Linked DNA regions of Rattus norvegicus. The protein of the gene in region 2 interacts with the protein of the main gene of each other region in a biochemical or structural test. Links are inferred from orthologs where the notes say so. Each region holds a gene or a part of one and is shown on either strand. Other genes may lie near its edges.

What was found.
Region 1: the proteins of Patj (region 2) and Tjp3 form a complex in vitro, tested with the Homo sapiens proteins (2 studies listed by BioGRID and IntAct, with this or other methods). The link is inferred for Rattus norvegicus from reciprocal best matches to the Homo sapiens genes PATJ and TJP3.
Region 3: the proteins of Patj (region 2) and Tanc1 interact in a test that uses a peptide from one of them, tested with the Homo sapiens proteins (2 studies listed by IntAct, with this or other methods). The link is inferred for Rattus norvegicus from reciprocal best matches to the Homo sapiens genes PATJ and TANC1.
Region 4: the proteins of Patj (region 2) and Cldn1 form a complex in vitro, tested with the Homo sapiens proteins (2 studies listed by BioGRID and IntAct, with this or other methods). The link is inferred for Rattus norvegicus from reciprocal best matches to the Homo sapiens genes PATJ and CLDN1.

What each region holds. Positions count from the first base shown.
Region 1 is NC_086025.1:9,080,272-9,088,584, forward strand, and holds the start of Tjp3 (tight junction protein ZO-3), read left to right. Parts: upstream 1-4,152; 5' UTR 4,153-4,296; coding exon 4,297-4,302; coding exon of another isoform or gene 4,303-4,314; intron 4,315-6,115; coding exon 6,116-6,172; intron 6,173-6,251; coding exon 6,252-6,361; intron 6,362-6,872; coding exon 6,873-6,975; intron 6,976-8,313. UniProt on the Homo sapiens protein: TJP1, TJP2, and TJP3 are closely related scaffolding proteins that link tight junction (TJ) transmembrane proteins such as claudins, junctional adhesion molecules, and occludin to the actin cytoskeleton.
Region 2 is NC_086023.1:118,174,165-118,182,214, reverse strand, and holds the start of Patj (inaD-like protein), read right to left. Parts: upstream 4,593-8,050; 5' UTR 4,518-4,592; intron 1-4,517.
Region 3 is NC_086021.1:64,505,027-64,513,169, reverse strand, and holds the start of Tanc1 (protein TANC1), read right to left. Parts: upstream 5,134-8,143; 5' UTR 4,931-5,133; intron 1-4,930. UniProt on the Homo sapiens protein: May be a scaffold component in the postsynaptic density.
Region 4 is NC_086029.1:87,930,184-87,937,742, reverse strand, and holds part of Cldn1 (claudin-1), read right to left. Parts: intron 2,630-7,559; coding exon 2,465-2,629; intron 470-2,464; coding exon 385-469; intron 1-384.

The DNA.
Region 1 (8,313 bases), on a different chromosome or scaffold from region 2:
TTGAACTCTTGATCTTCCCTCCTCTACCTCACATGTGGCTTGCTCTACCTTAGGAAGATGAAGACTGAACTGACGTCTGGGGTGGTGACAGGCCAAGGCAGAAGGTTAAGGCTCCTGCTAGTGTGCCAAGAATGGCTGGAGCCAGGGGCGGGGGACAGGCTGCTGAGTTGCCTAGGTGGGTGGTAGCCATGGAGGGCTGCGCATAAAAGGGAAATGGCTCAGTGTTCATGTGAGCCCTCTGGTGGCTGATAAGGGACGACGGTCAAGAAGGCTCAGGTGGAGGGGCTGTGCTGAGATGGAGGTTCAGGGTCAGGGGCCAGAGGTCAGTGGTAAGGCAGGAAAGTTGGCAGGATATCAGCACACACAAAACCCTACCCAAAAGTTAAATTATTGAAAGGGCGCCCAAGAGTTATGGAATGTCTTGAGCTAGAAACAGTGCTTGTCAGCCCCATGCTCATGGAGCCCCTAAACAAGGACATGTTAGCCCCGCTGCACCCTTGAACCAGACTGCTAGTTGGAATAAGATTTGGCAAATGGTCAGCACTCCATAAATGCACAAGTAGCTCCCAGAGGTACCTAAGGTTTTTGACACTGTCGAAGACACAGAGATGTGATTTGTACAGCAGCTGCAGACTGAGTGACAGCTCCCATCTCAGGTCTACATAGTAAGTTCTGGGCCAGCCTGGACTACGTAGACACCAGCACTGACAATAACCCCCCCACAAAAACAAACAAACAAACAACAGAAAGCTGTGAAAAAGACTTCAGGAGCAGTTTGAAGACTTCCTGGGAGGGGGTGGTTAAGGAACACCAGATGCCACTCCTGGTTCCCACGTGTTCCCTACTGGCTGAAGCTGGTATTGCAGTCCCAAGTGCTGGAGACTGGCTCAGGGAAGCCCAGGCTAGCCATTCTGAGTCAGATTGGAAGCCGTGTTTTGCAGAAAGGGAAACTGAGGCAAGGAGCCTTTGTGGTCTTGGTCGGCCTATCTCCTGGGCGTCCCCTGTTCTTTACTTTGCTCTACTGTGTACTTTGTGGTGATGAGCATCCACAGCTCAGAGGCCTGGACCTCATTGTGCAGTATGGGTTCCTCTAGAACTGATAGCAATCCTCCTGCCCCAGCGCTCCCCTCCTGAGCGCCACCACTCCTAGCTAGTTACAAAGTCTTTTATTAGTAGTGCATGTGGTGCATGTCCATGAATGCTCACGGACCGTGGACACAGGGGACAGGTTTCCGTTGCTTCTCTCCTTCATGGTGGGCAGTTCAATGAATTCTCCCTGGCTTCCTCCTCCCCCGGGTCAGTGTGAGCTCCATTGTGCCCCACGGCCTTTGCACAGGCCACGCCTCCTTCCTCCACTGAATCTTCCTGGCCCTCTGGCTCCCTCACCTTACTGTCCGGACCTAGATCCCTACCTCTCCTTTGCCCGCTGGCGCAGCCTTTTTTGTCCCTTCTCTTCAGAGCAGGGCCTGCTCCTCCCTCCTTGAAGACCCAGCAGTGTACACCATTGGAGTTGGAGCATTCCTGAATTCCGGTCAGACCTGTCCTGCCACACCTGAGGGGACATCACACCCTTCAGTGACCCCCGACTCCACCCCATCCCACAACCTCAAGCCCTGCCCTTCGCGCATGCCTCAGTTTCCCCAGATGTATGAGAATAGGCAAGCAGAGTCGTAGTTTCCCATTCTATACGCCCTTTCTGGCCTGCAGACATTGCCCTTTCCCGGCTGGCATCGGTACTGCAGCCCTGGGATGCACGCCTGTCTGGGATGCATCTGCTTCACCGCCTGTGCTCGCCCACCCCTAGGGGCGGTTGGAGAGTTTCTTTAATTCATAATCTCTAAACAAGTATTTATTCGTGTGTGCATACGTGCATATGCCGTAGCGTGAGGAGGTCAGAACTCATGCGGATTGGTGCTTTCTATTCTGTGCGGTCTGGGGACCGCACTCAGGACAGCAAGCCCCCCTCCCTAACAACTGTTTCACAGGACACTGAACAAGGTAGTCCTCAGGATTGGTCCCAGGTACTATGGAGGTTGAGGCAGGAGGATTGTGAGTTCCAGGACAGCTTAGGCTACAGGTGAGGCCCAGCCTCAGAACAACAGCAGAACCTGACCTAGGTGGTCTCCTTTAATCTCTGGAATCAGGTGCAACTTCCAGATGGGAAACTGAGGCACAGTAGCTTACAAATAGACAAACCACTTCGGTGCCCTTTTTAGTCCACCTACCCACTCTGCCATGCAGAACCTAGGATTTCGTTACCTATAACGAAATACTACCCACGGAGTAGGTAGTAACTCCCCGAGGGCACACAGAGAACAGGCAAAAGACCTGAGATTGAACCCACAACCTAAGGGTCTGAGAACACACGTTTTTCCTCTTAGCACGAAGTGTGTTGGTGAGTGGGAGGAAATGTGGGGACAGGACTGTCGCCGTGGGCCCCCAGGTGCACAAGTGTTCACTGTGTAGCCCTGGCTGTCCCGGAACTCACTCTGTGCACCTTGAACTAACAAGCATCCACCTGTCTCTCCCTTCCAAATGCCGGGGCTAAAGGCAGCACCAAGACAGTGCAAAGACTTTGACTAGATTGTCTTGGCCAACTCTTTTTCTTTTCTTTTTTTTTTTTTTTTTTTTTTTTTCCGGAGCTGGGGACCGAACCCAGGGCAAGTGCTAGGCAAGCGCTCTACCACTGAGCTAAATCCCCAGCCCCTTCTTGGCCAACTCTTGATTAGCCTTCAGAACCGCTCCAGCATGCCCATTCCAGAACTCTAATTTAGACACTCCCTCACTCCCTCTAGCTGTGAGGTGACAACTGGAGGCTGCTACTAAGCCCTTTGACCTTGGGTTAGGCTGCAGATCAATATTTACTAGTGAGGAATGTATGGGTGGAGCCAGTACTAGTCCGGCCTATTGAGGTGACTTCCTCCCACCTTGTGCCCAAGCCTAAGCTAGTCTGACTGGACCTTTCTACAGCTAACCCTCAATGGCAGGCCCTTAGAGGGAAGCAGTCTGAGTTTGATATATGAACCTGCTTGACCCGGGGTTGGGGATTTAGCTCAGTGGTAGAGCGCTTGCCTAGCAAGCGCAAGGCCCTGGGTTCGGTCCCCAGCTCTGAAAAAAAGAAAAGAAAAAGAAATAAAAATAAAAAAAAAAAATGAACCTGCTTGACCCGGGAAAGGCCAGGAACACTACTGGTTATGTTTTTGAGGAAGGGTCTCACTGTAGCCCAGGCTGGCCCAGACCTCACTATGCAGACTGGGGCTTGCCCCAAACTCAGAGATCCTCCTACTTCTGCCTCCCGAGTGCTGGGATTAAGGCTAGAAAACCGCTTTTTTTTGGGGGGGGGGGCGGGAGGACGCGTTTACTTTTTTTTTATTTTAACATTTATTTATTACACCAGAAGAGGGCATCGGACCCCATTACAGATGGTTGTGAGCCACCATGTGGTCTCTGGGAATTGAACTCAGGACCTCTGGAAGAGCAGTCAGTGCTCTTAACCTCTGAGCCATCTCTCCCCCTACCCCTCACCTCGTTTGCTCTTGTTTCTTGTGTTTGGTGTTCTGCGGATGGCTGTGAGCCATGTGGATGCAGTTCCCACGGAGGCTGCCAGGGATATCGGATCTCTGGGGCGGGCCACACAGAAGCTTGAGCAGCTACCTCTGGGTGCAGGGATTTGAACTCAGGTTCTTACACTTTCATAGCAAACCTTCCAATGCAGACACAGATCGTTCTCGTCTGGGCAAACTCTTAACCCACCTTCAGAACCCTCCCTGCAGCGCCCCTCCCTGCTCACCACACATTTGCCTCTTTGCCTTCTCACCACCTTCGCCTCCTCCCGATCCCTCGCAAAGCTTCTAACCCGCGGGCCGCCCGGGCGAACCTCGATGTGTGTTGGTACGTGGGAAGAGAAACGTCTCAGACCCGGTACTCCGTTCCTCCTGGCCGTGACCGCTCCGGGTTTTCCCGGCAGCCTCGCCCATGCGGTCCGCTACCCGGGCTGCCGGGCTCAGCCCGGCTTTGCGGGAAACCAGGACAGGATCGCGCTTGTCCGGATCGGATCGCGGCAGGGCCGGCGGCCGCTTCCCAGAGGCGTGCCGGACTGGGGCGGGGCGGCCTCCGACTTGAAGGAGGAAGAGCAGGTGCAGCCCGGAGCCGCTGGCAGAGCCGGAGAAAGGCGGGAGCGCGGCCCGGACCCCGCCGCCACCACCTCCGGCCCAAAGTGGGGGTCGGTTGTTTCCAGGCGCCTCCAGGTCCAAGGTGGGGGCTGCCCTACCGTTTCCAGGACGCCTGTTGTACACCATGGCGGTGAGATTCCAGGCGAGTTGTGCCGGGCGCGGGGAACCGGTAGTGGTCGGATGAGAATGGGACCCAGGCTTTCAAAACCCTGTCCACCTGCCTAACAGGCGGGAAAACTGAGGCCCGGAGAGGCGCGGTGGCTAGCCTACGGGTACATGGCGAGATAAATCTGTGAATTAGCCCCAAGAGCCACCTCTTGGAGCTTCCTCAGTTGCCCCACCCCACTCCCACTGAGACACTGAGGCCGCCCGTGTGTGATCTTGAAAATGAGTAGCTGTGTTTTGTTTCGTTTCTTGGCCGCTAGCATTTATTGAGCACCTACTGTGTGCAAAGAGGTCAAGGAGCCTGGCGGGTCGGATGACTGTAGCCAGTTCTGGGGACCAGGAGGAATTTTGTTCTTCTGGCGTGGAGCCCAAACTCCTACACAGGAAGAGTAAACTGAGACCTGTCTGCTGGGTCACACTCCAAGCTTTACGTCTTCGAGGTTTACTGCCAGTTTAGGAAGAAGAGGAATGACCTTCCCCCGGCCCCGCCGACAGACCTGTCTACAACCCCTCCCTACATCCCGTGCGCCTGGCCTAAGGGGAGGAGGGGCGGGTGGGGAGCCAGTGCCCCCGGGCGCATGGCTTATCTTACCCGGTCCCTTCCAGTTCGCAGGTGGCAGAGGCGGGGCCAGGCGCTCACCTGGAGGGGCGGGGCTGAGGGGCTTGGATCTAACATTTTAAACCCGCCCTCTGGTGGTTTTCAAGCTCTCCCAAAGCTCCTCACTGGGGACAGGATAAGGTCCCTAGAACCCCCATCCCAGACTACCCGGAGGGCTCAGACACAGGGAACTCTACGGAGGAAACGAGATGAGACTGTGATACCCCAGATTCCAAGGGAAGGGGGCGCCAGATGTGTACGTTGGATGGCACCTAAGCCTAGGGGCTCTAAAGGCTGAATAGGAGTTTGCCAAGGACTAAAGCTGACAGCAAGTCGCCAGGGTTGAGTGATGGAGAGGTCCGGACTTCCACAGCCAAGAGAAAGTCAGGGCCTGCGGAGCACAACTGAGAAATGCAGGAGTGGGCAGGGGTGGGGACCCAGGGGTCACATCAATCCTTAAGGCACAGGGAGTCCCAGAGGGTTTTAGACAAAGCCTGTGACCAGCCTACACCAGCTGGGACAAGCTGGGCAGGCTGGGACAAGCCTGGCCACCTGCCTCCCCTCCCCCTAAGGAGCCCAGGCACACTTGGGAAAGCCAAGAAATAAATAAAAATTTCACAGTCGAGTGCAGATAACCTTTGAGAGTGCCACCTGAAGATCTTTGCCAGGGTTTGTGGAGGTCCCCATGTGAGGAGGCTGAGGCAGGGGGATTGCCATGAGTTTATAGCTAACTTAGGCTGAGCAAGATCCCCAACCACCCAAAAGTAAACCAAAACCCAGTCATCAGAGCTGGGGGGAGGGGAACAGCTCAGCAGAGAGGGGGCCTGGCAGGTGGGGTCACATGACATTAAGAAGTCCTGAGGGTTCAGCCCTCAGGGGGGTAACCGACCATCCTTCCCAGGACTGAGAGAAGGCTCTGAAGACCTGGAAAATCTGGGCAGAAGGGAGGCTGGGATGTTGGGGAGAAGCCATGAGGCCCTTGTGCTGGAGCAAGGATAGCAAGGGGTCATAATGGGGTAAACAGGACAGAGAGGACTCTAGGGAAGACTGCGACTGTGATCCTGAGGAAGGTGGGAGCCATCGCGCCCCGAAGCTACTGAGGATGCACTGTGGAGGGTGGAGCAGGCAGTTGATGCCATGGCCTCCTCCTACCCCATGAGCCTGTCCCTGTCCCTACCAGGTGGCAGACATGGAAGAGTTGACCATCTGGGAACAGCACACAGCCACACTGTACAAGGTGAGCTGAGACCTGCCCCTCCAAAAGAGGCCCTGGGTCTGGGAAGTGTAACCCCTTGCCTGTTACCTGTGTCCCTCAGGACCCCCGCCGAGGCTTTGGCATAGCTGTGTCTGGAGGTCATGACCGAGCTGGTGGACCTGTGGTCGTGTCTGATGTGGTACCTGGAGGCCCCGCTGAGGGCAGGCTTCAGTGAGGCTCGGAGATGGCGGGTGGGAGGAGGGACAGTGGGGGAGGGGAGAAGGCACCTGGCACAGTCAGCTCTGTCAGCAGAGCCTGACTTCCTTGGCCTCATGTCCCTAACACTTCCTAGTCCCAGAGGTTGGGCAGTGCCTGAGGGCAGAATGGCAGAGAACTGAAACAGACAATCTCTGTCTGTTCTTTGAGCGCAGAGCAGTTTTCTGAGACCTGGAGATTGAGGCTCCTGGAATCTGGGTGGAAACAAACAGGTCCTAGTAACAAGAGGGTGATAAGAAATAGAGGGGGAGAAAGAGACAGACAGAGGTGGGAGAGACATGCAGAGAGACGGGGGGGGGGGGTGTGTGAGAGACATACAGAGAGATAAAGGGGGAGAGACACTCAGAGACAGACATAGAGGGGGGAGAGACATGCAGAGAGACAGAGGGACCAAGAGATAAATATCACCTGATGGCGGGAGGGGAGGGGTGCAGTCCTGAGTCTCTCACTGGAGCCACTCCCTCAGGACTGGGGACCACATCGTCATGGTGAATGGTGTCTCTGTGGAGAATGTCACATCTGCTTTTGCCATCCAGATCCTTAAGACCTGCACCAAAACAGCCAACATTGTAAGTGAACAAAGGCAGGGAAACCTTTATTATAAGTACACAGACACACCGGAAGAGGGCATCGGATCCCATTACAAATGGTTATAAGTGATGTGGTTGCTGGGATTTAAACTCAGGACCTCTGGAAGAGCAGTCAGTGCTCCTAACCTCTGAGCCATCGCTATAGCCCCTGGGGAAACTGAGTTCTAATCCAATAAGGCAGGTGATCCTGTGATATTGGAGATGGAACTACACACTTCTTTTAGAATTTTGTTTTCTGGGGGTGCTAGGGCTGGAACGCAGGACACTTAGCCTGTGCTCCACCCTGACCACGCCCCCACACCCTCACTGGGGGGATTCTAGGCGGGGCTCCACTCTTGACCACGCCCCCACACCCTCACTGGGATATTCTAAGCCTGGCTCTACTCTGGCCTCCTTCCCACATCCTCGCAGGGGGTTTTAATGCGGGCTCCGCCCTGACCACGCCCCACACCCTCACTGAGCTATTGTAGGTGGGTCCAGCTCTTTTTTTTTTTTTTTTTTGGTTCTTTTTTTCGGAGCTGGGGACCGAACCCCAGGGCCTTGCGCTTCCTAGGCAAGCGCTCTACCACTGAGCTAAATCCCCAACCCCTCCAGCTCTCTTTTTCTTTTTCTTTTTCTTTTTTTTTTTTTCTTTTTTTCGGAGCTGGGGACCGAACCCAGGGCCTTGCGCTTGCTAGGCAAGTGCTCTACCGCTGAGCTAAATCCCCAACCCCTCTTTCCCTCTTTTTATTTTTCTTAGTCTCACTCCATATTCCTGGTTGATCTTTATTTTTTCTTTCCTTTTTTTTTTTTTTTTTTCCGGAGCTGGGGACCGAACCCAGGGCCTTGCGCTTGCTAGGCAAGTGCTCTACCGCTGAGCTAAATCCCCAACCCCTATTTTTTCTTTAATGATCTATTTTATGTATGTGGGCGTTTTGTCTACATCTATCTGCGCTCCAAAAGAGATTATCTAATGTCGGGAGTTACCGACAGTTGGGAGCCACACGTGGGTGCTGGGAATCGAATTTAGGACCTCTGAAAAAGCAGCCTGTGATCTTAATGACTGTGCTATCTCTCCAACCCCGATATTTAATTTTTGATCCCGCAGTGGGGATCTCAACCCCTGTATAGTTGGAACTACTGAGCATTCTGGGATAGTTTCACTTCCCAGCGGAATCAGACTGTAGGACCTCCTGGTTTGGCTGCTGTGCTGGATGTGTGGTCCATAGTTGTGCTCCTGTCCGGACGCCTGCCTCTGAAGTCACATACTGGCCCTTTGGTGTTGGAAGCCAGAGAGGCGCTGAATCCCCTGGGGTTTTTCTGTGGGTGGGGTGATCT
Region 2 (8,050 bases):
CCACCAATGTCTATTCTCCTTGATTCAAACACATGCAGGCTGAAGTAGAAGGATTGCTAAGAGGGTCAGGCTAACCCAAATCACACTGAGAGTGCTTGGGCTACAGAGGAAGACTCTATATATCTCAACCCTTCAAAGAATAAAAGAAAAAGGGGTTGGGGATTTAGCTCAGTGGTAGAGCGCTTGCCTAGGAAGCGCAAGGCCCTGGGTTCGGTCCCCAGCTCCGAAAAAAAGAACCAAAAAAAAAAAAAAAAAAAAGAATAAAAGAAAAATGAGAGAGAGATGTGAGAGAGAGAGAGATGTGAGAGAGAGAGAGAGAGAGAGAACGAGAACAAACTTGTCGCTGCTGAATTAACTATTTTGACATCTATTCTATACAACACACAGCCATTCTGTATAACATTATCTAACTGATGTCTTATCGCCTGTAGTTCATAAATCCAAAAAACTAAATTAAAACACGAGAGGGGACAATGCTATGGAAAAACATGAAAACAGAGGAACAATAGAAGCCATAGGGGAGGAAACACCTTATGACCTCTGGGGCAAATAACTAATAAGAAAACATTTCAACGTGAACTCAAGCTGGGTGCACCCTAACTAACCCTCATCATTCATTTACCTCATCTCCCTTTCCTTCCAAAGTTAGTAAAAGTTTGAGAGGAAGAAAAAAAAAAGATTTCAGAAAAGGATCTTTTAAAATAACTAATTGTTGGGAGGACTAAATAAAATTTGCCCTAGCACACAACACACTCTCAACAAAGATTATTACTGTTAGCATCTCTTTTCAATCAAAATTACATGACATTTTGAAACTGCAAAGAAGTTAATGTCGTTTGTGGTTTTGCTATGTTATCAATGCTGAAAAGACTGAACAATATAACCTTTCATCAGTGAAATTAGTGTTCAACAAGTGATCAAGAAAAGGCATTATATATCATTTTGTTTTGAGTCAGAGTCTTACCATGTAGCCCAGGTTGGTACAGAACTAGCTACACAGACCAGCCTGGCCTGGAACTCAGATATCCTCCTGTCTCTGCCTTCCCAGTGCCAGAGATGTGTGCCACCGTGCCCAGCCTATAAATTGGGATTTTAAGCCAGTTTAAAGCCAGCATGGTGGTATATAATTGTACCCAACATTCTATGGCAAGAGGAGGGTGAATTTGAGGCTACTGTTTCAAACACAAGTCTTTACCTCAGTATCTTCCCTCAGAAATAGAATGTGAGCCACAAATGCAATTTTTAAATTTCTGCAAGGGCTGGAGAGATGGCTGACCAGTTAAGTGTGAACACTGTTCTTACAGAAGATCCAGATTCGGTTCCCAGAGCCCATGTCAAGGCTCCGTTCTGGTATCCCTGCACAGGCATTTGCACATAACCACACATACATGTAATTTAAAAATAATAAAAAGGGCCAGGCAGTGGTGATGGAGGCCTTTTAATCTCAGAGGAGGCAGAGGCAGGCGCATCTCTGAGTTCCAGGACAGCCAGGGCTATATGGAAAAACCCTATTTTAAAAATCAAAACATAAGGGGTTGGGGATTTAGCTCAGTGGTAGAGCGCTTGCCTAGCAAGCGCAAGGCCCTGGATTGGGTCCTCAGCTCCGAAAAAAAAAAAAAAATCAAAACCTAAAAAACAACAACAATAATGTTTCTGATAGCATCATATAAAGGAAAAAAATTAGGGTTGGAGAGATAGTTCAGTAGTTAAGAGTACTAGCTGTTGTTCCAGAGAACTGGTATTCACATCTTTGATTCCCTGCACTCAGGAGGCAGAGACAGGAAGACCCACAAGGCAACTTACAACTGTCTATAACTCCAGTTCCAGTGGACCTTACACACATGTGTACAAAACACCAATGCACATAAAACAGAAAAACAAATTAAAAACATAAAAAATAATTTTAAAAAAGACAAATTTAACTTTAATATGTAACTTACTTAATCCAATATATACAAATCATCACTTAAATATGCAAATAATGTGAAATAGAATAGCTTAAACTTTTTCACACTGTCTTCAGAGTCTCGTGTGCATTCCACACTTACGGTCATTCCAAAGAGCCCATTTCACTTGTGCCGGTGCTTCGGCAACCAAGTACCACTGACCTATTAACCTAGACTTTTCCAGAAAGAGTTTGGCAATGTTTTTAGCAAAGACTTTTGCTTCTTGGCTCAGTTTCTGACTATTCAAATACGAATGCTTACAGGCTTGAGTTCTTCCTGATTCCATCTGAGCAGAGGCAAGTGGGGGAACAATTGCTTGCTGCGACAGACAAGACAAATCCTAGAACTGTTTCCTTTCAGCCTTTTCCAATCTCTGGCAGATCATTTCCAAACTGAGGACCAGCACAGACCACTCTCCAGGTCGGAAGTAGATCAGCACCTATCCTTAAACTCTACTAGGTCCTCAGCAGTTTCCATTCAGCTCACTAAAAACGTATCGTCTGTTGGTAGAGCAAGGGCTTAGCATGTGCAAGGCCCTGGCTTTCCGACCTCAGCACCAATAAACACACACAAACGAATGCAAGCACTACATTCCCTTCCATTTGCAACAGAATACGCAGGGAGCTCCAAAAGGCATCCAAGTCTACATAAAATCCCAGTGTAAGAAAAAAAATTAAGGGGCTGAAGAGATGGCTCAGTGGTTAAGGGCACTGACTGCCCTTCCAGAGGTCCTGAGTTCAAATCCCCAGCAACCACATGGTGGCTCACAACCATCTATAATGAGATCTGATGCCCTCTTCTGGTGTGTCTGAAGACAGCATCGGTGTGCTTATATATAATAAATCTTTAACAAAAAAAGAAAAAAATTAAGTATCATTGGTTATGTGATTTCAAATATTAAAGGAGACTAGCTTGTTTTCTCCAAGAATTTAATGCTCGCACCAATACCAGAAGAGACTTCAAGGAACTAACCCCTTTTGTGACTTCCCCCAAACTAATGCGATTTTGTTAAAACTTTAACAGAGCAAGCAAGTTCAGACTGCTTGGCTGTTTGATGTACAAATGATTATTAAACCCAGCTGTAAGGACAGGGAAATGCTGGGCTGTCTCAAAAGTTCAAGGTTTTAAAATCGAACTCATTTTAAGAAAACATAGGCATTTTTATATTTAAAATTACAAAGTGGAAGAAAGGAGTCGTGTGACTTGTACTTGTTTACTTTTTGTCATCAGTGAAATGGGTTTTATGGTTGCTGCTAGATCCTTTTTTCCTTCTTTTAATTCTTTGACAATTTCAGAGAGATACTTCAGGTCATTTCCACATGCACACAGACCCACCCCTGTCCCCCCCCTCTTATCCCACCGTCACAGCAAGTCCTCCTCTAATTTTCCTGTCAACTGTTTTGCTTTATTCCCTTTTCGAAAATTCTCTTGTTTCCCCTACAGTGAATTTATGTTCACTCCATACAAGCTCAATGGCTGCAGGGGATCTCAGGGGACAGGACACATCTAGTCAGAGTGTGTGTCTGTCTGTGTGTGTGTGTGTGTGTGTGTGTGTGTGTTACTAGATTAGATCCCCCTCACCACCAGACAATAATAATAGGTGGAATTTATTGAGACTAGGTTCAATTCGAGTGACAGCATACAACTCAATTTTAAATCAAATCCTTCTTCTGATGACAAGTCCACTATACACCACCAGTAATTGCATCTAAATTAGTGTGGGTACCTCCACATCTGCATTTATAAACGTTCAAAGTATCTTAAAAACTTCATTAATTCTTACAAAAGCCGTTAGGCCCTTAGAACAGCAAAAGGTCATGACTTCACCTCCTATTTTCTAATTCTAAGCTAATTCGCTTAGCTTCTCCTTGAAACAGTGAATTCGAAGTTAGGGGAAGGCTAGTAGACCTGGAATGTGGTCTAGCTGTCTCAAAGGAACCGAGATTATTCTAGGTAAACTTCTTCACTGAAAACACAATCGCTGGACACTACGGTGAGCCCACAGGTCAGATGCAAGTTAGAGGCAATCTAGAGAAATCAGGCCCAGCAAGGTGTGGCCTCTGAACTTCGGAGACAAACAAGTCACTTGAGGAATTCGAATCAGAAGTGGTAAGAGCCGACAGGAGGCAAAGTACAAGTCCAGGGAAGATTCCAGGGAGGGGTGGGGCATTCGAAAGGTGGGAAAGATGTGGAAATGCTCTCCAGAACTTGATTCCAGGGAGGAATCCAGTAACTTTCCCAGACTGAGAGACACCTCCCTAGCTAAGCAGAAAGGCCGGAGGGGCGCAAGGCCCACTCGAGGCCACGTCGGTCACGTCGGTCCCTCCGCTCCCTCCGCTCCCTCCCACCAACCGCGCAGAGGCTCCGCCCCGCTCCGGGAGGCCGCGGGAGCTAGATCCCCGAGCACGCGCGATCGCTGAGCTCGCAGGCCGGGTGGGCCTGGAAGTTCGAGCGGGGCTGATTGGCCTGGTCGCCGGCCGCCGCCAAGGCCTGCGAGCTGCCCAGCGCACCCTCCGCGGGCTCGGGACACGGCTTCCGCGCGGCCCCCGCACAGTGCGCCGCGAGCGTTACCTGATCAGGCGACAGCCGGGTGGGAGCCCCGAGGCTGCGATCACGGCCTCCTCACCTGGCGGAAGTACAGCTGCTGCCCTCACCTGGACGGAAGTGTGGCGGCCTCCTCACCTGGGCGTCTCTCCACCTCGCCAGAGGCTGGGCGGGGCGAGCGGGGCTCTAGCCCCTGGGCGTCTGCGCGCCTGTAAAAGTTCCGGGGGTGAGTGGGGCTACCAATCCTGGTGAGGCGGCCTGAGGCCTTGCGGCCAGGTGCGGAGTTGTGAGCCACCGGCGCTGACCCAAAACCGAGACCCCAAACAGACAAGTTCACTTAGCCCCTAGCCTAGCCCGAGGCCCCTCTGTTCCAGCCTTCTTGCGTCCCTTATGTTTTCCAGATGCGCTGACTCAACGTAAAATATCCTAAATGTCAATCTGTGTCCCCATCGTCCTAAGGGTAATTATGAGTGTCTTTTTTTTTTCTTATTTAGAATGTTGATGATAAGCATTTACATTATCTAATACAGACTACTCAAGGCTAAAGAGAATCAATCATCAGATATCTTACTGAATAAGTGCACTATTAAGCTCTGTGACTGACGGGGATGAGAGGTAAAATGGTATCCTCGAAAGATGAGTACATACAAGCAACAGCAACATGAGGACGTTCGCCGGTTATGCGTTTGATACTTTATGGCTGTGTGCTAATTTCAGGGAAATAAAATTTTTAGGCCTTGTAAAAAGGTGTGTAACCCCCCCCCCCACACACACACACACATAAGGAATAAAATGGAAATGTCCGTTTTCACCTATCCTGTTCAACATACTATTGGAAACTTAAGCCGAAGCAAACAAAGGGTCATGCTGGGTGTTGGTGCACACCTCTAATCCCTGTGCTCTGGAGTTTCAAGTAGTATTGCGATTCCCTGTCTCAAAAAACACTAAGAAATAAAGGGTACACTAATAAGCAAGCAAGTAAAATGTCGTTTGTGGATGTTAAATATTAAATATAAATACTAAAGATTAAAGATAGAAAGTCAAAGATGACTGGGCAAGATGACTCAGGGGATAGATAAAGGTAGGTACTGCCCAATCCTGATCACCGGTGTTCAAGTTCTAGCCCAGGAAGCCATATAGTGAAAAGTTCAAACCAACTACAGCAAGTTGTTCTTTGAGCTCCAAATTCCCCCAGTGCCCCATGCCCTCTCTCTCTCTCTCTCTCTCTCTCTCTCACACACACACACACACACACACACACACACACACACACACACACACACACGAGAATTGCTGTGAGTTCAAAATCAGACTAAGGTACATAGTGAGTTCAGGCCAGCCTGGACTACTGAAGTACATATCAGGACTTACCTTGTCTCAAAAAGAAATGCAAAATAGATGAATAAAATTTGGAACCCAATAGCTTTTGATAACAAATAATGGGCTTGGTAAGAATGAAATCAAGAAAGTAACCCCATTCACAATAGCAAAAACAGAGAAAACATACCCCGGAATCTTAGCTTACTTTCCCATGTGTGCTGCCTTGTCTTAGGGCAGCTTGGCACAAGCTGAAAGGGGGGAACCCCACTTGAGAGAATGCCTCCATAAGATCCAGCTATTAGAGCATTTTCTTAATTAGTGATTGATGAGGGAGGGCTCCACCCACTGTGACTGGTGGTCCTGGGTTCCATAAAAAAGCAGGCTGAGCAAATCAGTAAGCAACACCTCTCCATGGCTTCTGCATCAACTCCTGCCTTCAGGTTCTTGACCTGTTTGAGTTCCTATCATGGTTTCCTTTAGTGTTGAACATCTTCAATATGGAAGTGTAAGCCAATTAAACCCTTTCCTTCCCAGCTTGCTTTTTGGCCATGGTGTTTTATCTCAGCAATAGAAACCCACATTAAGAAAAAACTGGTACCGGAAATGGGGTGTTGCTGCGACAGCCCTGACAATGTTGCTTCAGGAGAGATTTGTGGAAGGACTTTAGAAATTGGTGTAAGAAAAGCCACTGAGTGTTCAGTTTGTGGTGAGCTGTTCTGCAGGATCTTAAAAGACAGGAATGTTGAGGACAAGGCAGAACGAGGAGGCCTGGATTGTGAAGTTTCAGGGAGGTTTAAAGACTACCAGGAGCCATTTGTTACTTTGAACTAAGGTTCTGGTTAGCTGGGGGTGAAGAAGAATTGGCTGTGTTTAACAAGATAACCAGAATTAGTAAAGTGAAACCTTTGCCTTTCGAGGATAATTAATGCAGGTTAGCTGGAGCTGAGGAATTAGCAGTAATAAAGAAGAGACCAGCATCATTAAGGTTAAAACTGTTCGGGAAGTGTTTTCTCAATGCCAAGGAGATGACCTTGGTGAAGGTGCACCCACAGTGGCATTGAAGGTCCAGGATTGAGGACTAGTCGTGCAGAGAACTTGAGCCTGGGCACTGTGAAAAGAACCTAGCAGAGGTTATTAGTTGAAAGTGCAGCCCAGTTGTAGCTGAAGACCCCAGCAGTGTAGAGATGCCAGTCCCATGGGATGGCCACTAGAACAGCAGCAGCAGCGGAGTGGAGTCAGCTGGAGCCTACAAGACAAGATGTGTGTGCTGCAGAGGGCAGAGCTGGAGAAGTGACCCAAAGCCTGGAAAGGGACCAGCAGATCATGAGTGGATTCCAGGCACTGGACACTGAATTATTTATACAGTTGGAGTTTGGCTTGGCTTTGTGTGCATTGCGACTCTGCCCTGGTTCTGCCTTGTTGAAGCAAGGGGGTATTTATCATATTTTTGATTGGACGGGAGCTTACAGTTGAGAGATTAAATTTAAAGAAATTTTAGGTTTTAAGAGAGACTTGGATTTTTAAAGAGATTGAATTTGTCAAGACAGAGGGGGGGATTTTTAAATTGGTAAAATATTTTATACTGTGGGGTTAATGTGTGATCTTGAGGATGAGCATGAAAGGAAAGGTTGGGGCCTAACAGTGATGTGTGTCTCATTGACAAAGTCTGCATTACTGCTGTGATAAAATACTCTGACACTAGCAACTTAGGAGGAAGATCTTGGTGAGCTCAAGATGGTTCCAGGCCAGCCAGAGCTACATAGTGAGACCCTGCAAGAGCTCTCTTCTCTCTTCTTCTCTCTTCTCTCCTCTCCCCTCTCCCCTCTCTCCCCTCTCCCCTCCTCCTCCTCCTCTTCTTCATCCTCTCTCTCTCTCTCTCTCTCTCTCTCTCTCTCTCTCTCTCTCTCTCTCTCTCTGTTTAAAAGCACTATAAGACAGAGTTTTTTTGGCTCATAATTCCAGGTTGCAGGTTGCAGTCTATCAGTGTGAGGAAGTCAGGGTGTTAGGAATGGAAAACAACTATTCACATGCCACTCAGTCAAGAAACAGCAAAGAAGGCTTCTATTTACACAGTTCAGAATCCTGTTTAGGGAATGGTGCCACCCACAATATGCTGATGATCCCCACCTCAATTAATGTAATCAAGGTAGTCCCCCACAGACGAGCTCACAGACAAACCTGATTTAGATAATCCCTCCTAGAAACTCTTCTTAGGTGATCTGGGTTGTGTCAAGTTGACA
Region 3 (8,143 bases), on a different chromosome or scaffold from region 2:
TCCACATGTTAAAACTGTCTGTCACATAATGTACGTCTTTGCTTCAGTGTGCCCTTTGTGCAAGAAGGCCACCCACGGTTAAACAGTTTCTTCCACTCTTCTCCACCTCAGAGGCAGAAAGCCAATTTACCACAGGTGTGTGACCCTAGGTATGCTGGGTAAGGCAAGAAAGTGCTGAGTCACCATGGTTCTACGTTAAATGGCTGAACACTCTGGTTCACATCTGTCTACAATGAATATTAGCCGGGAGACTTTGGAACTAATAAATTCTCTCATTGCTAATGGCAGAATCCACGCTGAAAGCCACGGCCTGTGTCCTGTCTCTCGGCAACATCCGTCCTGCCCTTGACATTTGTGTCTGTGGGATGCTTCTCTCTAGAAAATTCTCTTCCGTCACCCACACTCCTCACAGAAGCCCTTAAAGACAACACTCACTCTACAAAGTAGCCACAGAGGCAAACGAAACCAAAACCCCTTTTGCTAACGGCAAGATAATGCTGCTAAGAGCCTTCTTCCTGGAAATCTGCTCAGCCCACTGTTTCTTCTGCTTCGCTTCTCAGGAAGGGGCAACCATCTCAGACTGGCCAGTCAGTGAACAGATACTAATGTATCTTCTTCTGAGTTTAAACACCATTGCTAAATACTTTCCAACGCTACCCCTCAGAGAGTAAGTTTTAAGGGCTGGGTCTGAAGCCTCCAATGATGCCACACACTTTCAATCTCAGCACACAGAAGGCTGGGGCAGGGAGATCACCAGCCTGAAGCCAGACTAGGCTCCCAGAAAGACCATAAGTCAATGCTTTACACGGACAAGTTCCTATCTCACTGGTTCAAAGGGCTTGCTGTGCAGAACTGACAACCTGAGTTCGATTCCCAGAACCCACAGTTGATAGAAGGAGAGAACTCCAGAAGTTGTCTTCTGACCTCCACTCACAGTGACATGCGCACCCATGTTCACGAAGACCAAATGGTGAGTGAAATAAAAGCTGCAAACAAAAAGCCGGTGTCCTAGAATATGATTTCATTTTTGAACGTGTTAAAAGCTCATAGACAAGGGGTGTCTGTCGTTCAGTGGTACAACATGTGTTTATCATGTTGGAAAACCGAGGTTTGTCCATCAGCACTGCCAAAAATACAAAAAAAAAAAAATCCTGCCCAGCTTCCAGACCCAGGGTACGGCTACACTTAGCACTCCTAACTCGTCAGGCAGGAACACAGCAAATGGTGAAAATGGATCACGGCAACCTACTACCCTCCCCCATTTAACCAGGAGCATAAGAGAAGACCTATGTAGCAAGGAAAGTGGCTCGCAACCCGGCTATACTCCCATCAATAGGAGGGGCGCAGGACTCCAAGAAAGGGATATTCAGACAGGCTTCATCCTTAGCTTGACAAAAGCCAAGATGACATGTAAATGGTGTTTTCATCCTCATGTTTCAGTTGATAGACATCTGAACTATAAATCATGTTAGACCCAGAAGCCTACTTGATTAAGAAATGGAAAGTAAACAAATGACTAGGAGGAGGGATGTGACTTTCTCAAACTCTCCTACAGAGAGAATGTTCAGTTACCGTTTACTAAGAGCTGTCTTTAATCCTTCCTACTAAAGCAGAGACATAAGCCCCAGGCTTCTGGAACCAAAATAACCATAAATGAGGCACTGTGAGAAACAGCCATGCATTCTTTCTGTCAGGCTTTATCGAGTTCACAGGTGACTGACGTGAATCAAAAGAGATATAGGGCACGGGATGGGGAATCAGGGACCTGCCCGGCTCAAGTTCAACTCTGTCACAGGTGACATCAGGCAAGCTGATCTAACTTCCTGGGCCCTGGATTGCTCAAATGAGAGGTTTAGGGATAGAATAAGTAGTGAAGCCCTTTATGATTGCTGCTGCACTGCTCTACCCAGGCTCCAAAGCTCCTAGGGTTCCCCAACTCCTGAAGCCGCAGGACTGCAATGTCATTCCATTTTGGGGATGGCCGTGAGAGAACTAAAAACCCAGAAAGACTTACTAGCCCTACAGATCAAACACTTCTGTAAACTGGGGTAGAGGTAGTTTTACAACTAACAAGTATTTACAAGACAGTTCAGAGCCAGGTTTGATGGGGCAGACCTTTAATCCCAGCACTGGGAAACAGAGGCAGGCGGATCTCTGTGAGTTGGAGGGCAGCATGGTCTACATAAGTGAGTTTCAAGACAGCCTGGCCTATATAGTGTGACCCTGTCTCACAAACTCACACACACACACACAAACAAACGAAACCCTGTCAAAGCAAACCCGTTCTAGAGACTAACACAATTCCCCTGTGGGTGTGTCTATAAATTTATTTACAGATGTGTGTGCTTGTCTCTACATGTTTATTGCCATAGGTGACATAGTTAAAACTAAAGGTTCCGTGATAAAAATAAAATAAAAGTTTGTTTCGCCCCCCAACAAGGCCTCATATATGTTGGACAAGAGCATTAACCCAATTTTCCTAACTAGGAAATTCTTGACCTAACAGACATAAAATCTTTACTATTGAGTTTGAAGTGTCTGGTGAAATCAGACCTAACTACCTCCCAGCTCTTCTGGCAAACCTCATTATAATACGGATTATAGCTCTGCTAGCCCAGGGACAGGGCTTTTAATGTTCTCTGGGAGATAAAGAATTAAGCAGCAACCCAGAAAAGAAGTTGTCTAAAAATGGATGATTTAGTCAAAGCAATTCCATTGTCTCTAGGACTGTGTCCTCGATCACCGGGCACCAAAACCCCACTATGGCATCAAATAAATTGTATGTGGTTAAAGAGACAAAATGTTCTTCTGGCTGCTATGGGAAGCAGAAAAAGGGCTGACTGTGAATCAGCTATGTTTTAGCTCCGTGATGAACATGAATTATGATAATTTAGACATTCTGGTGGTTAAACCAAAAAAGCAAGAAATCAATCCTTTTGAGTTTCAGCAAAAGTTTGTGGCACCAGAACTGGGAGACAGAAACATAGAAGTGACCTTCAATTTATTTCTCGACTTTCCCACCTCCACCAAAATCAATGACATATTTCCCATCCTTCGCTGTCCAATCACAGTAGTTGGGAAGCCTGGAATCATCAACTTGGCTGGTAAGCAGAAAGGTCGACGAAGGAGTCTCGAACGCAATCAGACACCAAACTTCCTTTGCTAGGCATACTTTTCATTGTAAAAGCACCAAGATCTATTTATGATGCTTTTTGATTGACACCCACAAGCATTCCAGCTGACACAGACTTTGCAGATTGTAGGGAAGTCCCTGTGAGCTCTTTAAGTAGCCCCGATGAGCAAAACACTCAGAACTGTACCATAATGAGCACCTCTCAGGCGCTCATAAATTCTTTCATTCCCAGCAATCAAAAAACAGCTGTTAAAATCCAGGACTCTTCCCAGTAGCAGATCTGAAATACCTTCGGGCTGCCCAGAAAAACTTCACAACGGCTTTCTTCTCTTCCTCCCTCCCCCATTCCAGGAGTGCCAGCCTGGCAGGATAAGGATGACCCAGGAAGGGGCTGTGGGTGGAGGGGAGTAGCGGATCTGGTGTAAGCAGAGACGCAAGACTCCCTTCTTTTTCACCACAAAGAAAAAACCAACCCTCTGTGCCAGCCAACCAGGTTTCTCCTTCCCTCCCCCCAGCACACTAACTTCGGTAGTCTGATGAGTCTGGCATTTCCAGAGTTCGCGACCTCAGACACCCTGAGCCCTTTCCTTAAAGATTTTGAGCCAGGAGCTAGCGGCGTCTGGGCTCCTTTACAGGTTAAGACTCTGCCTGCCTTTACCTTTTAACCCGCCAGGACCCTAATCCTGGGGTCAAGTTCAAGATGAAGGTGCCCTCCTCACCTCCCTGAGTTCACTCTGCAGGAAACTCTATATTCAGACCAGTTCCACTACTCCAGGCATAAGGATCTGGGGCTTCCAAGCCAGAGCCGAGGCAGCCTGAAGACTGTCACAGCTCGGCGTCCTCCGCGCTCGGCCGCGGCGCCGCGTTTCTTTTACCTGGCCACAGCCGCATTTCCTCCCGGAGCCTTTACACAATAAGTCAAGTGAGTTTTGGGAACGCCAGTCCTGAGCTCTTGCTTTCTGCAAACACGCTACACAATGCCCAGGGCTTCCTTCCCCGCCAGCCGTTCCGGAAAGCGGCCGCGCCGAGCCCGGGGGACCCCCACACACACCCAAAAGTCTTCCAGGAAGAACCTGAATCCCCATAATGCCTCCAAAGTAACTACTCGTCGCCCAAGGATAAGGGGACTCGCAAACTTGACAGGACCCTTCATTTAGCTGGCACTACTAAAAGAAAAAAGGGAAAGAAAATCCTCAAGGTCTAATCCCAAATCATCACCCCAACAACACCACCACCAGGGAAAGAAATTGGCTTGCATCTGCGAGCCGCAGCCTGCCGGAACGAAGCACACACTTTCAGCTCACGGTGGGCGATGTGATTTTCCCCGCTTAAGTTCGCTCGGGAACTTGGCGACCCGCGCACGGCGACACTCGAGACCCCGCGGTGCCAGGCGCCCCGCCTGCAAGTCCCCTCACTCCTAGCCCCCAGGTGTTGGACGCAGCCCAGGCCCTGACTAACCAAGGGATCGAGGAGGCGGGCAAGGGGCGGCTGGGAAAGTCCTGCGCGCCGCGTGATCCCAGTGTCCCCCTAGACCGGCTCTGCTGCAACCCGCTCCTCCGGGAGCGCAGGAAACGGCCTGCACCGACTCCCGGGCAGCGCCTCGCCCCAGGCCGGGAGCCCCGGCGTGCCCGCGTCGATTCCCAGAAAGCTCCCCCTGGGCCCGCCGGAGAAGGGGGCGTCCCGAAACTTTCCCACCAGGCTCGCTCTCGTTTCCCCGGCTGCTCCCCGGGACCCTTCCTTCCCCGCCGGCTGCGGAATCCCGGAGGCCCGCAGCGGCGCCCGGACAGCGGGAGTTACCTGCCAGGAAAGTTTCCAGCTTTCGGCGCGGTTCCCACCCCGGGGGCCGGGCCTCAGAGCGCGGCGGGCTGGGCACTCGGCGGCTGCGGCTCCTGCGGCTCCCGAGCCGGGCTCCCGCAGCTGCCACCGCGGAGGCAGCGCTCCGGCCCGTCCCCGCGCCTCGCTCGGCCCACACCGGGACCTCATTGGCAGCGCGAGTCCCCGCCCTTGCGCGTGTTCCGGAAGGCACCTTCTCAGTACGCGCCCGCCGGGGCTGCGCCTCGCGCGCCCCTCCCGACCCGAGCTGCCAGGGCTTTGAGACCCGCTGGGGCGCGGCACGCCAACTTTCCGCTCGGCGCCTTCGCCCCTCCTCACCCAGCTTGTTCTCTGCGGGAAGCCGAGCTTCCCAGGAGGAGGTTGCTCCCCTGGGGCCTCGCCTGGTCCTCTGTGGGACAGGATCAGAAGTGTGATTAGACCTCTCCCCCTTTTTTAGCCTGTTTAAAATAGTAAAGTGTCCCGGCCTTGGTCTATGCTGCTCTCTGAAAGCATCCGAGGAGGACATATGGGAGCAATTAGCCAAGCTGAAGTTTCCGCGGATGCCTTAGGGTGGCTTTGTTGGCTTTTCTTCCCCTCGCTTAACTAAACACAAACAAATACACTTTCTTGTTCCAAAATGAGCTGAGAAAGATGAAAAGTGCATCTCGCCCACTGCACCTTTGTTAGGTTGCGGGTGCTCTGGGATTTGACTGTCCAGGGTCGGGGGTCTGCTGTCTCCTCGAACTCTGTGGCTGGCGGTACTGCCTGGGCTAAGTCCACTGACCAGCTTCTAGCTTCCTTGTCTGGAGGAGGAGTCCTGGAGGAAGAACAGACAAAGATGCTATTATTAAGTAGGCTGGCGGCAGTAAATTAAACCCCCTAGTTCCCAAAATGTTTTGTTATTCCCAACAAAACAAAAGTTTGAAAATGGCCCAGAGAACTGGGAGACCTGGGTCCTCCACAACCTCCCAGCAATCCAGGCAGCCAATTTATATGTAGAAGGCTCAGCCCTCTCAATTCCCAAAGCACTTTGGACCCCCCTTTCTTTGCAGAAGGATCAACTGGAAATTCCAACAGGAATTGAACCTAGGCCACCCATCTGTGTAAGGAAAGTGAAGGATACAGAAGTTGCTATAAATGGGTTTATTGGCAACCCCTAACCTTTGCTGTGGCAAACCCGCCTTTAAAGACAACTGTTGTTTTAAAACAACTTTCCCTATAAAAACTTCAACCTCACATAGAGCTTCCCGATATAAAGATAGCTACAGGAGTAGTGATCATCTTTAAAGTCCCTGTGTAAAGCGTCAGGAAGCAAGAGGCCACTCAATCTCTCCATAATAAATGAAAGATGACTGAAATGTGCTGGGTGTTTTTCAGTCGTATATTCCAAGGCCTGATTATCGCTGTAGTTATATTTATGCAGTGAAAGTATCCTAGCCTTTACTCAAGCAAAACATGGCATGAATACCCAAAGAAAGTAAGGGCTTATGGTAAGCCAGGAAGGTTCTAGACATCCCCTGCACCCCCAATGCCTGCTTGTTGGAAGCCAGAATGATGCTTGATTAACTTCTCTTGAAATACAGTGTGTAAAACCGACCGGTCTTTCAACCACAGATAACAAAGCCAGACTACAACCGTGACACAATGACCCAAGCAGAAGGCAAAAATTCAGTCGTCCAGTCTGAAAGACTGGGATGTAAGAGAAACTCCTAAAGACTTAGAACAGGTCTAGTCCTGCTTCTGGCTTGTTTGTAGTAGTTTAAACGGGTAGATAGTGGATGAAATTCATGAATGTTTGCAAAGCCTTCCTGAACTATCCTTACTTATCTTCCCAAACGTTCATAAGAATGCTTAGATTGAGCTTTCAAGGCAATTAGGTGTCTTCCTCTCTACCCTCGAACTTGCCTCAGTAACAGGTAGAGGAAAGCACAGAAAGTGTGCTAACCTCTTGCATCAGCTTTCGTTTGGTTTAAAGGGTTTGGTTTTACAGCTTCACAAGTCAAGGACACTGAAGTAATGCCGCCCCTGCCTGTTTGGGGACGCTTAGCATTCTACACAGGCAGGGAGCTAGCAATCTAAGATGTGTACACAGAAGGGCCCTGTTTCCCCTCCTTCCCGTAGTATTTATATAATCCGAACTACATGTCATGAAGCCCAGTCGGATCTCCTGCTTTAAATGGCTACTTTTACATACAGTATGTGGTAAAGGTGTCTTCAGCTGTGGGTGAGAATGATACGTGTTAGAAAAGTCAAGGCCAAACATAAATAGAGTAAAAAAAAAAATTATGGGTGAAAAAATTATGGGGGAGGGGCTCGTGAGGATCTGTTATATGAGGACAACCGGAGACTTTTCCAAGCATCTTAATATGTAAGGTATTAGCTGAGCACAGGTTCAAACAATGAGTTTTTGTACTTAACATCTGCTTTTCCCTTAATAAAATAAAATAAAATAAAAAGGTGCTTTTAAGTTGGTTGTTCGACAACCTTGTATTTCCGGAGGCTCAAGGAAAGAATCATTACTTGCTTTTCTTGGGTCTCTCTCCACAAACCCAGTTTTCAAAGTTCAATAATTCTTTGTATGTTTATAACAACTGGGGGCAGGGGTGGAGGAGACGGGGGAGGGAGGGGGAGAAGAAGAGAGAGACAGAGAGAGAGACAGACAGACAGACAGAGAGAGAGAGAGAACAGTAGATTGCTACACACATTCCTCAAATATACATGTGTTATACTGGCTTGCATTTTTAAAGTTTCTGTCACTTTGCCAACAATGTAGCTTTTTCTCAGCAGACCGAAAGAAAACAGCAAGTATTAAACTGGTTATTTTACCGTACAATTTACTGCCCAGGGCAATGGACTGAGGAAGGCATGAGAAAAGAATGTGCTTTGTGAGTGTTAGTGTACGCCCCCTTGGTCAGATTCCTAAGTACTTCTATTTTAAATCAATCCTAAGTTAGGATCCTAGCTAGTGTTTATTGTGGTGTGTGTAGTGTAAAACAGACGGTAAGAAGTAAAAAAAAAGTTTAAGTTTTAAAACTAAATACAAAAGCCAAGATGAAACTTTAAAACTTAATAAGGTAGGAAATCCAAACGTAAGCACACGCTTCTCCTCCTTAGGAGGGTCTTTTAATATTCACAGAGCTCACTCTTCTCCCTCCGTTAGTTCGTTTCTCCTCCGCTTTTTAACATTCTGAGACAGAA
Region 4 (7,559 bases), on a different chromosome or scaffold from region 2:
ATCTGTATATTAGTTTGGAACAATCACAGGTATTAGATATAGAAACATCAGAATACAGTTCAGGAAGAACATGGCCAACGCGTTAGCGTTTTTGTTCATATTGGGGAATAAATAAAAGCTGTGATATATTGCTGGCTAGCATCCAGCTTAGAACATTTCTCCTTTGAAGTGCATTTTGTCATCGGTCCTAGCTGTTAAAGCAATTATCCAATTCATTTTAACATGAGTCACAGGTCATTTAAATTGTTTGCAAGTTTGACATAAATTTCCATACAATTCTTGAAAGCAATTCTGAGAAACTAAGGCACTGGCAGGAGTCTGCAGAACACAGAAAGGATTGGTTTTTTTCAGAGAATGAACTATTTTATGCATGACTAGAATTACCTGGCATTGACAGGGGTCATGGGGTCATAGAATTCTTGAACAATTCTATTTCCATACCATGCTGTGGCCACTAATGTCGCCAGACCTGCAGAAATTCAAAGCAAGACCATTAATCACTGAGGAAAACTAAGCACAAAAACAAGGACTATTAAACCTAATTGTATTCTATAAGAATTGAATCTCATCAACAGTGCTGACATTTTATTTTATTATTATGGAAATCAATTTGACTTAGATATGATTTATGCCAACCATTCTGCAAGGAGTTACAAAGACATTAGACTGAAGTTGGGCCTAGATTATACTGTTTATGACATCTTATTTATTTATAGTCCAAGGCCACTGGCACAAAAACTGTTACTCAGAAGGAGCCGGATAGATCCATCTTATTCAAAATCTTGGCCAGTGGTTTGCAGGACTGTAGTTTAGTGTATGAAACTACTTTTGAAAAAAAATAAATGTTTATATCAGCAGAGAACTGCTTACCAAATGTAAGATGAAAATCTTCCTACATTCTTCTTGACAAACTCAAAATCAGATTTTACTTTCCTCTCTAGCAGCAAAACCAGAGCTGGCTAACTAGCATAGGGCGCAGAGCATTCAGATTCCTCTTTCCCCGGGTCTAAGGCAATCCTTACTACTGGGATCATCTGCTGAGGTGACACTCTGGGTTGACTTATGTAGCCGAACTCAATCGCGCATGGTATTTTTGTATTCAATAAATGAAAGGAAATGAGTTGGTCGTCATCACTCAGTCAACATCTCTCTGATGCCTAAATTATAACGTTTATTTTTATCCAAAGAGATGTTTGTCCAAAGATTCAAACTTTCAAGGAGAATGTAAGATTAAGATCAAGAGCTTTCTTGTACAATATGGTGACTAAGTAATGCTAGAAAGAAGGCAGGCAGTGGTGCCCCACACTTTTAATCCCAGCACTTGGGAGACAGAGACGAGCTGTTCTGTGTAAGTTCAAAGCAAGCCTGGAATACAGACTGAGTTCTAGGACATCCAGAGCTATACAGAGAAACCCTATCTTAAAACTACCTCCCCCCAAAAAAACAATAAAAAATGCCAGAGAGTGGATGTAAAGTGTTATTACCAGAAAAACAGTATCCGAGCAATTATATATAATTTATATAAAAAATGCGTGGAAAACTGTCAAATCTGAAACAAATTTAAAAAGAAAACAAATAACTTCTTTTATAGTACTTGACAGTATGTAAGATCATCCAGGTTGACCGTGCAAATTGATCATGCACGTGCTCTTGAACCGGTCACCTAGATTTCTGAAACCATCCCAGCTTGAACTGGGACACATGTATGTCTACAGCACTTATGGAAAGCACAGGGATGGGTGTTGTAAGAGACTATAGCCTTTGATGCCATTTTTGTAATATGTGTTTTCTGCGCGACACCTGGCTTATTTCGTCTGAAGCTTTCCAATCCTTCTGTACTGTTTTCTTCCTTAGCTCAGCTGACTTTACATCCTACCTTGTTAATATCCCATCAGTACCCCACTGACGTACCTTTTCTCTGGTCCATGGGTACATAGTGTTTATTGTGAAATTACTCTGTCCATCTACAATGTTACCTCCCCCCAGCTTTCTCCACTAGCTCCAATCCCAAACCAATAACATCCACATGTTATGTATATTTTCTTGAGGCTGGCCTTGAACTCTACATTCCCTGTCTTCACCTTTCTTATGCTAGGATCACAGCCAGGCACCATTACAACCAAATAGCATTTTCTGAATCACATCAAATTGATCCAGACTCTTTTGCAAAGTATAAAAAAAAATCTTTCTTAGTCTGAATAGACTGGGCCAAGAATCTAGTAGGCACCTGAATCCTTCATGGTTGTCCTTGACAGAAGTGTACAGAGGTCTAATTTCCATTGGTTCTAACTGAGAAGACGAAAGCCAACTGACTGTAAGGCTCATGTCTTCAGATATTAAAATACTTGAGAAATTTTCAGATTCGGTGATTCAAATACAAACCAAAGAAACTAAAAATCAGAAAGCTAGATTTCAAACCACACTTGAGAAAAGCAGACAAGGGAGAAGGAGGAGCCTCTCTTACCTGAAATTACAAATATTATGCCCCCGATGACAGCCATCCACATCTTTTGCACTTCATCATCTTCTAAGCACCTCATGCACTTCATGCCAATGGTGGACACAAAGATTGCGATCAGCCCCAGCAGGATGCCAATTACCATCAAGGCTCTGGTTGCCTGCAAAGTACCTGGTGGGAAACATTTAAGACATGTAAAAACCATGTCTAGAGTGTCAGAGGAGAGTGATGGGAGATGAAATACATTTTAGTATTTTTGGAGAGGGATCAAAGTGAACAAGGTGTCCAAAGGAAAACGGACTCTAGTGACATTTCTGGTCTTGCCACTGGGATGGTTGCTAGGAAGATACAGAGAGTGGAGGATGGCTGGTACTGTGGTTATGAAATCCAAAATCAGCCGGAAAGTTATTAATGTATCAGTTAAATAGGTATCAGTGAATTGAATATGTAATCATTATCACTGGGTACTTGGATTCTGAAGTCATACATATTAATGTTCGTTATTTGTAATTCGATGACTTAAAATACATATTCATTACCAGTCGCCAGTTTTAGACTACAGTCTTTAGGCTTCAGAAAGAACAAGTTACTAGAAATAAGCAAGTGACTTTTTCAGAGATGATCATGGCTAGATAAGCAATATTTTATCCCTAGTTAAAAGAGGTTGGCTGGGGGACGGGTACAACTTCTAGAACATTGATGCTAGGGCAAAATTTAAGAAGGCAACTTGGAGCATGGCAATAGATTCATAGAAGATGATAACACGAGGTTTTAAAACCACAAAAGCATCATGGTGCATAAAGTTGGGGATAACCCCAACTCTTTTTTTCTTTTTTTCTTTTTTTCTTTCTTTCTTTCTTTCTTTCTTTTCTTCTTTCTCTTTCTTTCTTTCTTTCCTTCTTTCTTTCTTTCTTTTTCAGAGCTGGGGACCGAACCCAGGACCTTGCGCTTGCTAGGCAAGCGCTCTACTACTGAGCTAAATCCCCATCCATAACCCCAACTCTTATTTCTTGGGTTTCTGCAAATTTTCTAAAGGCCTCTTTCGCATCTTTGTTGTGTTAAATTATCACCAGGGACAGGATCAGATTTGAGAGACAGTGCCAATGTGTTTCCTAAAGAACAAAAACTGAAAGCCAGCATCATGGTATAACAATAGTGTGTGTGTGTGTGTGTGTGTGTGTGTGTGTGTGTGTGTGTGTGTGTGTGTGTGTGTGCGCGCACGCGCACCCTGCTTAGACGATGTTTAAATTATAAATCATTTCCTGTTTAAACTGAACGTCTTGCCCCCTTAATGCAAGTTTTTATACGGAGACATTAACATTGCAAGGAATGAGATCTTAGGGAAACGACTTACTTCTCTTAGGGACTATATTTGTATTTTGTAAAATATGAGGGACAACTTTTCTATCCAGGGAGTTGGAACAGTTTGCTCCTTTCTGGTCTTCAGGACTGACAAGATGATGATCGGCACAGTGTTTAGTACACGCACAGGATTAATCTTCCGATGCTCAAGATTGACTAGTTAAGTTACCAATCTTTTGTTTTTGTTTTTTGTTTTTCTTTATTGGATATTTTTTATTTACATTTCAAATGCCATCCCCTTTCCTGGTTTCCCCTTCCCCATATCTCCCCCAGCTTCTATGAGGGTGTTCCCTCACCCACCCACCCCAAACAAACCTGTGTGGAATGCCACTACATTTTAACTTACAGCCATTTCTATCCTTGCTATTACGTGTATATGACAGAAGCACACTGCCTTTCTAAGCAGTATCAAATGTCTTTTCACATCATTTCAGTGATATTTGGAAGCCACTTTTACTTTTTCATCAAAATACTAAACTGTACACTCTCTCCTCTGCCACACTCATCTGCTCATAAATGTGCAACAAGCATATGCACATCTCTCTTGCACACTGATCACAGAGCTCCAGGGTAGGGAAGGAACTGCTGGATCAGAGCCATGTTCCATGGCCCATGGCTTTACTAGGAAGGGAAGCTGCTCACGTGACCATTAGAAAACTTTCCTTGGGGTCACAAACCATGCTGTGGTTTAAAGAGGAAAGTCTCGAGGACGCCCAGCTAAGGTGGGCACTTCCTTCGGAGTTATCAGTAGTACATGGAGGGCCGCTGTTTCTCTCAGTAAATTCAACAACTAAATAATTATGCTCTTACAAAACAGATTTGACAGTTTGCTCAGGTAGAAAGCATTTTGGGAAGATGTTTCAGGCAATGACAGGATCTATGTGCCTGGAGGAGAGGGTGACCATTCCTGCCAGATTGTCAAGGATGCTCCATATTTTAAGTAAAAGTCTAGCATCCTAAGAAGGTCCCGGGTTCTGAGTAAAGTGGGCCAACTGGCTATTCTATAGATAAATGACAAATGGTAGGAAGCGAATTGAAGTTTAACAAGGTTGGCAGAAGGCATATATATGTATGTGTATATGTACATATATGTATATATTACATAAATGTGTGTACATACACATTCACACATACCCAAACTCACACACACACACACACACACACACACACACACACACACACACACACATTAGTCAGGAGTTCAAAGTCTATCCCAAATGTAATGAGAAGTCATTGGAGGATTCTAAGGCAGAGTGACCTGAGTTTACTCTTAGTGTAGAAACAATGTAATTAGAAAGCATTAATGACATGGTAGCCTTTCACAAGCATGTATAGCCTCTTCTGTCTTCCACACCTTCCCTTTATTTTGTTGCCATTCATTCATCAGCTCCCTATGAATGACTTCTGTTGGTGTCTTTGATCTCTCTGGATGTTGTCCTTGTTATTCAGCTTCCATTAGACTTAGTTCATATAATCATTCCAACCCACTCACGAAGTCACAACACAGGCCACTAGTGCCACAGGTCTGAGCATGTGCACAAGGCATTCTTCAGAAGCCCCATGAACACCAGACTCATAAATCAGGTTTAAAAAGAAGCACCCAGGTATAGCCTATGGATGTTCCTGACAATCACCGACTATTCACAAACGTTTTACCTTTAAATGATGAAGAAGGCATTTGTGCTTCATGCCTCCCCTTTCTTATTAACTACTTTTGCAAAGTTAAGGAGAAATGACAGATATTCTGTCGCAGGCTGGCTAACAACCCCACAATGCTTCATTTCCTTATAGAATGGTATCATTTGTCTAACACACAGATGTGGAGTCAATGGACAATATACTTTGTAAGCACAAAATCTTAGAGACTGGGAGCCTTGTTTCCATTTAAACCATGGCAAAGCAGTTCAGAATAAGAATGTTGTTTTGACGAGCAACATTTTCCATTTACACCTGGAAGCCACTAAGTTATGAATTATCTTCTGCCTTATATTAGACTGGCATCAAAGGGAGACATTGCACAATGTCTAACCGTAATGACATGTGTAGGGAGTACACAAAATAATGCAAGCTTTTCTGCACACCATAGACAATGGTGGAAGATTGTAAGCAAGAAAACTTACTAGCTGGGCACATGTAACTCTGGATTACAGGTCAGACTAAGAAACTACTCTTTGTCATAGTTTTGGGTAAAGATCCATTCTAAACCAGAGCTTTCATCTGGACTCGCTTAATTTTTTCCACTGAAGGTCTTGTGGAAGCCATTCCAGTCAGAGCCATGGATTATCTACTTCTGAGCTGTTAGATGGCTGCACTGGAGTGGTATCAGACTGAAGAACTGTTCCTACTTCCTGACCATGTGTCCAAGTCATTCAATGTGTTCTCAGTGACCTTGGACCAGACAGGTGGCTTGCTCCTCAAAACTGGCAATAATGTGACAGAAAAAAAAAATCACACAATTGTGTTTAGCTACATCTTTGAAAGGAGATAAACACCTCCTTTCAGGGACCAGGGTTGCTAAAGTTTTGTTACATCAACCTAGGCTGAAATTGGGTTACAAAAATGCTAGAAATACATACTTGCAGAGGGGAAAAATGGCACTTTCCCCTTAACTTGATAGCATTTAAATAAAGTTCTGTCTTCAATGAACTCTTTCGATGGGGATTCTCTTGCTTTCTCTCTCAGCAGAGTGAGGAAGGCAGAGCATAGAACTTGATAGCAAAGCATGAGTGTTATAAAACAATATTTAGAGCAGAAATACATCCACGTATTCTTGTACCTCCCCCAGGAGCGCTTACATTTCTTTCTTCTCTCTTTACATTTGTAGCCAGTTTTATAACATTCTAAATAAAGCTGCATGTGGAGAAGGGAGTTAGCAAATACTGCAAAAGTTACATTAGGGTTCCTGAAAGTTACCCAGCAGTAAACAGGAAGGCAGCCTTTTAATAAAGCTCAGCCAGATTGAAAATCTGCAGCTTAAAGACCCCCTGAGGAGTCCTCATCACTCTCAACATGAAAGTATAATTAAAAAAAAATACTTACAAAGATCCCTTCTTATAAGACAAGAAATGAGTTAGACAGTAGACTTCTAGTACAGTTATTTTAATCAAAGTTTGCAAAGACAAGCATAGACAGGCAGGGGATTTCCTTTTTCTCTCCAAACTTTAAAGACAGGCTCACCAAGCAGGAGGCTCCCCATAAGTACCTGGCACTGTACATGCCCCATACTATGGGCCATGACCATTCTGTATATCCTGGGCAAGCCAGATTTTAATGGTATTTCTGCCCTCACACAGTCCCTCTTTATTACAGTATGTGCTAATAAGTCTCAGGGGATAAAATAACTGCCCGCTGTGTGACCAGAGCAGAAAGGTCCTTTCTCTTTCACAGCTACACGAGCTTATTCAGACTATTAGGGAGCACTGCTGTGAAGTTTTCAATTATGAAGGCGTTCTCTTTAGCCCGTGTGAAAAGTTTCACAAGTGCCTTCGTCGTTGCATTTCTAGTTTGCAGGCACATGTGCTGGTGGGTTAAGTGTGACTCGGCACCTCAGGGCCAATCAGCAGTCCACGATGCCTCAGAGGACGAGGGATCGCCACCATGAGGTGTGTCCTGAGCAGTTTTGCTATCTCTTTTTAATAGCATACCGTTCACTTTTATGTCGCCTCATTATTCAATCTACGCCGAGTATTAACCATGTCTGTGACACTGTATTTTGTTAAAATATAATTACATCACTTCT